3 linked regions of the Caenorhabditis elegans genome follow. The protein of the gene in region 2 purifies or fractionates together with the protein of the main gene of each other region. This does not show direct contact. Each region holds a gene or a part of one and is shown on either strand. Other genes may lie near its edges.

What was found.
Region 1: the proteins of far-2 (region 2) and mup-2 fractionate together in Caenorhabditis elegans (co-fractionation; one large-scale study listed by BioGRID). This does not show direct contact.
Region 3: the proteins of far-2 (region 2) and rps-12 fractionate together in Caenorhabditis elegans (co-fractionation; one large-scale study listed by BioGRID). This does not show direct contact.

What each region holds. Positions count from the first base shown.
Region 1 is NC_003284.9:6,408,434-6,412,189, reverse strand, and holds mup-2 (Troponin T), read left to right. Parts: upstream 1-1,962; 5' UTR 1,963-1,981; coding exon 1,982-2,004; intron 2,005-2,056; coding exon 2,057-2,125; intron 2,126-2,176; coding exon 2,177-2,288; intron 2,289-2,354; coding exon 2,355-2,732; intron 2,733-2,783; coding exon 2,784-2,990; intron 2,991-3,062; coding exon 3,063-3,491; 3' UTR 3,492-3,719; downstream 3,720-3,756. UniProt on the Caenorhabditis elegans protein: Troponin T is the tropomyosin-binding subunit of troponin, the thin filament regulatory complex which confers calcium-sensitivity to muscle actomyosin ATPase activity.
Region 2 is NC_003281.10:9,079,966-9,083,122, forward strand, and holds far-2 (Fatty-acid and retinol-binding protein 2), read left to right. Parts: upstream 1-1,862; 5' UTR 1,863-1,864; coding exon 1,865-2,372; intron 2,373-2,444; coding exon 2,445-2,485; 3' UTR 2,486-2,546; downstream 2,547-3,157. Other genes in the region: far-1 (Fatty-acid and retinol-binding protein 1), read right to left, coding at 508-548, 604-689, 738-943, 997-1,212. UniProt on the Caenorhabditis elegans protein: Probably binds lipids.
Region 3 is NC_003281.10:5,677,663-5,680,814, forward strand, and holds rps-12 (Small ribosomal subunit protein eS12), read left to right. Parts: upstream 1-1,635; 5' UTR 1,636-1,667; coding exon 1,668-1,684; intron 1,685-1,715; exon of another isoform or gene 1,716-1,847; intron 1,848-1,913; coding exon 1,914-2,051; intron 2,052-2,082; exon of another isoform or gene 2,083-2,213; intron 2,214-2,218; coding exon 2,219-2,486; 3' UTR 2,487-2,525; downstream 2,526-3,152. Other genes in the region: F54E7.9 (N-terminal methionine N(alpha)-acetyltransferase NatE), read right to left, coding at 1-226; ska-3 (Spindle and Kinetochore-Associated protein homolog), read right to left, coding at 400-605, 652-939, 983-1,163, 1,213-1,326; pst-2 (Adenosine 3'-phospho 5'-phosphosulfate transporter 2), read left to right, coding at 2,836-2,942, 3,048-3,120. UniProt on the Caenorhabditis elegans protein: Part of the small subunit (SSU) processome, first precursor of the small eukaryotic ribosomal subunit.

The sequences.
Region 1 (3,756 bases), on a different chromosome or scaffold from region 2:
CTAAAAGTTTTCGGTGGCATTAAGCGTAGAATAGCGCGATTGTGGAAAATTGATAAAAATCTATAGTGCCAAAATGGCCAAATAAAAATTGTTTCAAATTTCATGGTCTACCTATGTTTTAAATAATAATATTCAAACATTTTATTCGCTCGAACATGCGACTGTGCTATTTTTTCTCAAAAAGTGATAAAAACTTAGTAATTTTCACTTTTTGTGTGTCAATTTTTTGAATATGTGCAAAGAGTTTTTGAAACTTTTTACTATGATATTTGATAGTTTTGGTACTATAAGAGTGGTAGTTCAGAAAAATTACCCCACTGCCCCTACTCCACCATAGACTAATTTGCTAGTTAGAAACCAAAAATACAATGTTTCAAAAAATATGTTATAAAATACAAGAAAAATACAAGGTGTCAAAAACATACATTTTCTGAATAAGGGTAATTTTTTGACATTTTCGAAAATGTAATCTATATCTTTGATCTCATATGTTAATATCAAATTAATTAGACTAAAGTTTTGAAATTGATGATTAATTACTACATTTATTTTGTATTTCACAAAGATGTTCGTATTTCTTAGAATAACACTATTTTTTTGCAATAATTTAATTAGTGTGGACTGTTGTCACCACATTGAACACACTTTTCGTAATTTTTTTGCCTTGTTTATTATTATGTTCTTTGAAATTAATGTTTTATTTATTATTTAGAATCAATTTTTCAAATTCCCTTAATTGGATCCCCGCAACTGAACCAGACGGCCAATTGACACTGGCTTACAAGAATTTGAATGAAAACGTCTCGAAGATCATCAGCTGCATTCAAATGAAAAGAAAGAATATTTGTATTATTGTTTTGCGTTTTTACAATTGTGCCACCCAAATATTATTCGTATGCTCGCCCCGCTTGTCTTATTGCAGGGGCCACTGTGAGTGGATTTTTGGTGGAAACGAGCTTGTTGGAAAAAGATGATAGCCGATTGGCAAGGTGCCTCGGTAAATTGGAAACTATTACACAAATATCATTGATTTCTAAACATTGAATTTTGAAATTTAATATTTGTAGAAATATTAAAATGATTTGTTTACTTTAAATGGATCAATTTTAAAGAGCACTACGTTTTCATTTGCGCGTTAAAATATTTAAATAAAAGTGATGATTCATTGAAAATTCGTAATTATAAAATAAGTTTACCGTATTTTACCTAAATTTTAACAAAACTTTTTGAACCACATAAATATTTAACGCGTTTTTATTATTTTAAAGCTGACCAATTAGAATTAGTGTGCAGTGGAAGATACAAGAATAATAGGAAAATCACAGTAATTTCTAAAACATATTAACTACTTGTTAGAAATTTTTATCAATTGACCAGTATAAACTATGTTGTTTTTTTCAACTTGTCCAAACTCTTCATCATCATCTGTCTCTTGTTGGTCCCTTGTCTGTGTCAGCGTAGGAGGAAGAGATAGTGAAGTGCACATCTTGGTGATCGAGAGAGAAGCAGAGAAACCCGTTTCTCGAATCAATGTTGGTGATTCAAAAATATATTGAGCCTTCGGATCGAAACATGATGCCCTATTTCTACGATAGCACATCACAGAAGTCTGCGTATTCTGAGGAAACGCAGACTGCCCGCGGGAAGCCCCAGGCAGAGAGAAAGACGAGAGCCACACGAGGAGGGCACGGCTGCTCACTCTGCGTAGGTGTAAGGTTTACAGCACAGATTGTGTCCGTATGTTATACTTTTCTTTTCCCTGAGAGCTCCCGCTCCCGCCAGCCCCTCCCACTTATCTGCCAACGACGGCCTCCCGGAGCAAGCACTTTCATATCTCTTCATTGTCGATTTCAACATCCCACCGGCACATACTCAAATTTCCTTCTTCTTCTGTGTCATCACTTCTTATCAATATGTTTTGAGATTTTGAATTTTGAGAATTTAACTTTCATATAATTACAGAACCTAAACCTAACTAATCATGTCCGACGAGGAGGAGGTATAGTAAGTTATATACCTATCATTTTTCTAGACATTCTAATTTTTAATTTTTTAGCTCTGATGAGGAGGTCGAGGAGGAGGAGGTCGAGGAGACCGAAGAGGCCCCAGCTGAGGCTGAAGAGCCGTAAGTTTAAGCTTTGAATTCGTGATTTTTTGTATAACACTGAAATTGTAGAGAGGAGACCACCGAGGAAGTAGTCGCTCCACCAGAGGTCAAGGAGCGTCGTGCTCCAGTCCAAGAGGAGAAGCCACCAGCGGAGATGACTGAGGCTGAGATTGCCATGTTGGTGAGTATAACTTCTTGGGAGACCTTCCGTTTCATTCATAAAATTGTTAACCAAATTCATATCTAGGCCGCCAAGAAGCGTCACGAGGAAGAGGAAGCCGCTAAACTTCTCGATTACGAGCAGCGCCGTGTTCTTGAGAAGGAGCAAATCGAACAAGAGCTTCGTGAACTCAAGGAGAAGCAAGAGAAGCGCCGAGCTGAGCGTGAAGAGGACGAGCGTCAGTTCGCTGAACGTAGACGTCAAGATGACGAGCGCCGTCGCAAGGAAGAAGACGAACGCAAGGCTAAGGCTGATGCCGAGAAGATCCGCAAGAACGAGGAGAAGGTCCGTCGTCAACAAATGATGGCTGGAGCTTTCAACGGAAGAGTTGAAGCCGGAGCTGGACGCAACTTCACTGTCGCCTCCAAGGGAGACCAAGCTGCTCAATTCGGAAACTTGGCTCAGGTATTTTTATTGTATCATTTTTAAATCGAATACTAATTAAGAAACTTTCAGGCTAAGGGAGGAAAGGATGTCATGAGCAAGGAACAGATGGAGGATGCCAAGAGAAACTTCTTGGCCGCCGTCTGCCGTGTACAAGACGTCTCTGGACTTCTTCCAAACGATTTGAAGGAGAGAATCAGAGGCCTTCATGCTCGTATCGTCAAGCTCGAGGCTGAGAAGTACGACTTGGAGAAGAGACGTGAACGTCAAGACTATGACGTAAGTTTAAACTATTCAATGAGACTTATTTGATATTGTGTGTGACATTCAACCAAATTTCAATTACTTCAGATGAAAGAGTTACACGAGCGTCAACGTCAAGCCGCCCGTAACAAGGCTCTCAAGAAGGGACTTGACCCAGAGGAGGCTGCTTCCTCTGTCCATCCACCAAAGATCACCACCGCTTCTAAGTTCGACCGTCAAACCGACAGAAGATCTTACGGAGACCGTCGGTACTTGTTCGAGAACCCAGAAGAGGAGAAGCAGGCTTCCCTCGTCCGCGGAACCGGACGACCACCAGCAGAGTGGGGACGCAAGCAAAACGAAGAACTCGAGCAGATCCGCAAAAACTTGGAGCCACCAAAGTACGTTGAGCAGGTCAAGGTTGAGGGAGCCAGAGCACCAGTCGAGCCAGTCCCACTCTTCGTTCCAACTGATGACTTCGAGCCACAACAAGTCACCGAGGATCCAAATGTTGGAGAAGAGGTCGTTGTCGAATAAATTTCCTGTTTTTTACCTTTTTTCATTTCACAATTTTTTGATTATCAAATTTATTAAAATAAACCCAATCCCAACCAAAAAAAATCCATTTTCTAATATTCCAATCAAAACTTTTTGCATTTGTTTCCAATTTATTAACCAATTCTCCAATTCTTCAAGTACTCTGTTTCTGCATACTCTCCGGTTTGTGCTTATCAGTAAAGTCTTTATCATAAAAATTGCATTCCCATTCGAATTGTAAGCATTTCATGAAACAGATTAAAAC
Region 2 (3,157 bases):
TGCCTTAAAGCACAGTGAATTCCTCTGTTTAGAACCTGAAATAACGCTATTTGATCCCAAGTACCTAAAATCAATATGGTTATGTTTCTTAATTGAAAGGATGCTATTTGATTTTGAGTACTTGAAACAATATAAGTTTTGACAGGCTTGCAATAAGATGGGACTTTGATTTTTAGGTTTTTTTTAAATTCCAATCTCTAGCAACTTCTGTGCAAGTTTTTTAAATGGCCAATTGACAAGTCTCAAGCATCGACTTTGCAGACTTTTTTCTCCGTTAAATCTTTCCAATTGTCTCCGATCAGTTCTTTCACTAAAAGTAATTTATCTTAGAGGCCCGAATGCTACTGTTGTGAGGGCATCATTTGTTTGAGATACCAACTGCTACTGATTTAATGAGTCATTACAGAAAGCATCAAGTTTTTATTGCGATTCAAAGTTTATAGAAAACCAATAACCAACCATTAAGCTTATTACATTAAAAACAAAAAGAAAATGCGAAATGGAAATTTAGTTGAGGTATTGTCCGACCATGGCTTGAACCTTCTCGTCTGAAAATTAATATAATTATTAAATTGAAAATTATTAGAAGTTTATTAAACTCACTCTTGAAGAATCCGGTGAGGATTGGGAATTCCTTGGCGATGGAGTCCTTGGCATCTTGGGAAAGTCCCTTGTAGGCTTCGATGTGGCTGAAATGTTATCCTGACAGAGAAATTTGTAATTTTCTCGAAACTTACGTCTTGGCGGTGGTCTTGAGGGTGTCGAGGGATGGCTTCTCTCCGGCCAAGTATTGAGCGTGGATCTTACGTCCTTCAGCGATAGCCTTCTTGACGAAAGCCTTAGCCTCATCATTGAGAGCGTTGACCTTGTCCTTGACGATTTGGTGGAGCTTGGAGGCCTTCTCGTGGAGAGTTGGAGACTTTTCCTTGAGGGCGTTCAAGAACTGCAATTTAATATTTTGATTATTGGTCTAGAGTTTTCAATTTTCAGACTCACATCATCCTCGCTCTTGAAGTCCTTGTATCCCTTGGCGACCTCCTTAAGAATAGCCTTCTCTTCTGGGGTGATGGACTTAAGATGCTCGGAGACCTCGGCTGGGATAAGGGACTTGTATTCAGCTGGGATATCGTCATAGTTCTCTGGGACCTCCGGGACTGGAGCAGAGAAGGCGAGGGCAGCGACAGCGGCGAGGATGATAGTGGCACGGATCATTACTGAAAATTTGAAAGATTATGAGAATCGGGGATGTGACGAAGAAGAAGAAGAATAAGAAGAAGAAGAAAGCGAAATGAGACTGAAGTGTTGATTTCCATTGTTCTGAGCATCTTTTAAAGTCGAACAAAAAGAGGCGGACCACATGGTGACCCCAGAAGAATTACAATCAACTAGCGAGAGTGTAGTCCTTTGAGAGACTCAGAAAATGAGCAATTCAAATGGGCGGAGTCAGTGAGATAGAGCAGTTGCGAAGAATCAGCAGCAGCAAAGGGAATCGAAATAGAAATAGAAAAAAGAAACATTTTTTCCTAAACTTCATTACACTAAAAGTGGTTTTTTATAATAGAAATAAGGGAAAAATGAGGTCTGCGTCTCGAAGGGAACGTGATATTTCATCGGAACTCTCATGGTTCAACGCACTATTTCGTTGATGAAACGAGGTTCAAACATACATCATCCAAGGTCGTATAAAAGATCGGCTGGCGGAGCAGAATCGGCACAGCAGAAGCAGCTCAAAGCTTCATCTTCTACTTCGAAACTTTGCTAAATGGTTTCTTTTTTCTAGTTTACTGGTTCTTTAACTTTGATATCACCTTCTATTTCTATTTCACCTTAAAATTTCCCACCCCTAATTTAAAATATTGCAGTAATGATCCGCGCCTTCCTCGTCGTAGCCCTTGCCTCCGTGGCTGTCTTCTCTGCCCCAATCCCAGAGGTTCCACAGAACTTCGACGACATCCCAGCCGAGTACAAGGGACTCATCCCAGCTGAAGTTGCCGAGCACCTCAAGGCCATCACCGCTGAGGAGAAGGCTGCTCTTAAGGAACTCGCCCAAAACCACAAGGAATACAAGACCGAGGAAGAATTCAAGGCTGCTCTCAAGGAAAAGTCTCCATCCCTTTACGAGAAGGCTGGAAAGCTCGAGGCTCTCCTCACCGCTAAATTCGAGAAACTCGATGCCACCGCTCAGGCTCTTGTCAAGAAGATCATCGCCAAGGGACGTGAACTCCACCAACAATACCTCGCCGGAGATAAGCCAACTCTTGATTCTCTTAAGGAACTCGCCAAGGGATACATCGCTGAATACAAGGCTCTTTCTGATGACGCCAAGGCTACCATCACCGCTGAGTTCCCAATCCTCACTGGATTCTTCCAAAGTGAGTTTTAAAATTCTGAGATTTTTGAGCATTCAAATTGTTTAATTCAAACAATAATTTTATTATTTTCAGACGAAAAGATTCAAGCCATCGTCGGACAATACGTCAACTAAGAAGTAATAATTATGATATGGTTTTCCAATTATTTTCCCCCAAAATAAAGTATTTTAATTCAAATAACGATTGATTGTTCTCTAGAAAAGATGGAAAGAATTGAAGTTTGGTCGGTGAAATGAATCCCAAATGGCTACCACATGTCGGCTTCACGTAAAGCACATTTTCGAAACTTTCGAGTTGTCTTCACAAAGTTTATGGGTTTTGTTGTGGTTGTTGTGATTGTAAACAATATGGTTCCGAGGTCCATTGAGCAGTTGAAAGAATTGGGTACAAAGTGCAGGGTTACGGTAGCTTATTTGCCAACAACGTAATTCAGAAACTGGAAGGACAAGTTGCATAGTTTTTTGAAGTTTGAAAAGCGCAGGTAGGAAAACTTGATAATTTTTCAAAATTTCCAAAAGAGAATAAGTCAAAAACTAATAGGTTTTGCAAAAAAAATTTCTACATACAAAATATAGGTCATAACGTTTTCTTTGTTTTTGTTATTGACAATTTGTTATCAACTCTTCTTTGAAAAAAGTTAAAGCATTTGACATCTGGCGGCTTAATTTTTTCCAATCATTTTTGGAGCTTTCTGTAATTAACTGAATTTCATGGTATTTTCAATTAAAAAAAACAGATTTTCATTCTTTATGCTCCTCGAATTCGATTCTTCAACATTTTTGATA
Region 3 (3,152 bases), 3.4 Mb from region 2:
GCTTTACAGCAACTATGGCGATTGCCTCGCCGTTTCGTATTACAACTCCTGTTAATTCGTTATTCATACATTCTTGATAAAATTTGTCGCTGTACGACACCGGAAATATGCTTGAAACGAGGATTCGAACTGTTTTTATGTTTTCCGCAGTCACTCGTTGCAGTCGAAGTTCAAGAGAATTATCGGTTGATGGTGATGAATGTGATAAACATTCCTCTTCTTCCATTGCTGAAACTTTGTCTAAAACGTTGACTAGAACATGCGAAAATTCTAAAAATATTCACAGTTGAAAACTGGTTGGATTTTCAAATTCATTTGATTTCATTTTCAGAAAATTGTATTCATATCCACATTTGTACAGATAAATAAAATAATATTTAGTATCAAAAATTCAGAAAATCAATCCCTTGTCTGATTGAATGCTCGACCAACTGAAGATGTGAAGACGGGCGGTGCTTGTAGGGAAAATAGATCAAGAGGATTCCGTTCTGGAGCTCTGGATGGAGTTCTTTGTGGTTTTCTTGCTGGAGTTTGCAGTTCTTCATCGTCCAACTCATCAAAAGCCAGTTTTCGTCGTTCGTTGGATGTATTCACCATTGATATGTCTGAAATGGCATGTTTTTATTGCAAAGACAAACTAATTCAATTTACCATGTCCGTTTATCAAAGAATCATCAAGACTGTAGCTTTTGGTCTCCGGAATATTTTCTTTCTTTTCAGTCCTTCCTGTCATCACCAATGATGAAAATGTTGGTGGTTTCATTATGGAAGCCATTACAGAGACAAGCTCCGGTTGACGTCTCGCAGATTCACCGAGAACTGATCCTTGTTCGACTGATATTTGTGGCATTTCTGGCTTTGCAAAAACTATTTTTTCCACTTTCTCAACCACGGGATTCAGAAAATCAATGCTGCCAATCCGCAAATGCTCGTTTCGTTCTGAATTTTTCTATTTTTTCGTGAAAAAATTATTGCAACTCACCTTTAGTCTCCACAATAGCTTTATCAAACGTTGTCCCCAACTGTTTCAGTTTTCCAGCGAGCGCACATTTCTTGTTCTTCAATTGCAGCTCGAGTTTCATAATTTCTACATGATCCGCCACATAGCTCTCCATTTCCTGCGTCAGTCTCATTCGCATGTCCACATCCAATTGTGCAAGAGTCTGAAATTCATGTAAATAATTTAAATGGACTGAAAGCTCGACAACTTGCCTTGTACTGTGAGAGTGTCAGCTTTTGAAGTAATTCTGGAGATTGGTTGCATCGAACGTCTTTTAGCTTCTCCAAAAAGTAAATAAGAACATGTTCCAGCGTTTCGTTAGCCATTTGACTCCTTTATTTGCCTGAAAAATGCTAATGAATGTTTGATGAAGACTGAGAAAATACAGAAAACTGTTGAAATTCAAAGCTTCCCGCGTGCAAGTCTCCGTAAATCGACAAATGGCAAGCGCGCTCTATAGCACATTTCACTGTGCCGCGACTCAAAGACATGCTGCGGAGTGATACAGAAACATTTCATGCTTCCCTCTTTTCCGTTGATTTTCCCAATTTTTTCTTTTCTTTTTTTCTTTTTCTCAAATCTTGAAATATATTTTGTGAAAACAATATTAACGAGTCGAAATTTCTAATTTTCAGGTAAGCATCAAGGACTCTTGCTGCAAACAACAATGTCTGACGCAGGAGGGTAGGTTATTTTTGTTTTTTTCTGAAAAATCTTGCACCTACCAATTATATCGGAAGATTTTGAAGTCATAGTTTTCCTATCGTAGTGTGCAATAAAAACCGTTCTACTGCCACACGGGTACTGGCCTTGAAGCTGTATCGGTTCCAAAGTTGTTCGAACAATTAGATTCCTTGTCTTAAAAGCAAAATTAAGTTTTTATGAAGGCTATTAAAATATTGGATAATTTTAGAGATGTTCAAGTGGCCCCAGCCGCCGTCGCCCAGGGACCAATGGACAAGGAAGGAGCTTTGAGAGCTGTTCTTCGCGCTGCCCACCACGCTGATGGACTCGCCAAGGGACTCCACGAGACCTGCAAGGCTCTTGACAAGTAAGTAATTGATATTTTAGTTTGTATTTTAGTTCCACTTATTTTTCAACGTCGCCGGTTCTAGAATCGATGTGACCCCAATAAGCTGGTAGATAAGTTGTTACTCTGCCACACGTGTACTGGTATCATGCTGTATGTGTTCCAAAGATTTTACAAACAATTTTCAGGCGTGAGGCTCACTTCTGTGTCCTCGCCGAGAACTGCGACGAGCCACAATACGTCAAGCTTGTCGAGACCCTCTGCGCCGAGCACCAGATTCCACTCATTAAGGTCGCCGATAAGAAGATCATCGGAGAGTACTGCGGACTCTGCAAGTACGATAAGGAAGGAAAGGCCCGCAAGGTCGTTGGATGCTCATCCGCCGTTGTCACCAACTGGGGAAATGAGGAGCAAGGACGTGCCATCCTCACCGACTACTTTGCCTCCAAGAACTAATCTGTTCGTTGTTCCAATAAATTGTTATTGTTCCCTATTTGTTCGTCTTTAATTACAAAATGGTACACATTCACAAGTTGTTGGGATAATATTTTCGGGAGCAGAAAGTATAGGAAAGGTTCTGCAATATATCACGCCGGTGAATTTTTATTTCGGTATGAATAACGTATGCATAGAGAGACGTAGCGCAGAAACTATTGCCAACGCGCAAAAAGATCGATACCCCCTTTTCAAAAGCCGTGAACGTAGTCGCGGTTCAGGCTTTCCCCAATGGACAATCTGAACAAATGCCTATCTGATTTAGATCTCAATTTCCCTTTATTTGCGCACTTTCCACCCACTCTTTCAAATGACTGCAGCTCAAATACATTCTGATTGTAGTGTTCATATGCTGCCACGTCATGTCAAAGAGGATGTAGAACCAATTCATCTGTTAGGGTTTAATATTGCCAGAAAGTGAGTTTTAATTTTCAATTTTAAAGCGGAATTTCAAAAGCGATAAAATCGAGAATACATTATGAAATCTCGAGCCGATTTAATTTGTGAATTCATGATTTTCAGACCAAAATGGCTTCAATTTGTTCTTCTTTCTTTAGCAATATTTATTTTGTACATAGGATACGGGTATATGCAGGTGAGATTAGAAGTTTACATAAAAAAATGTTT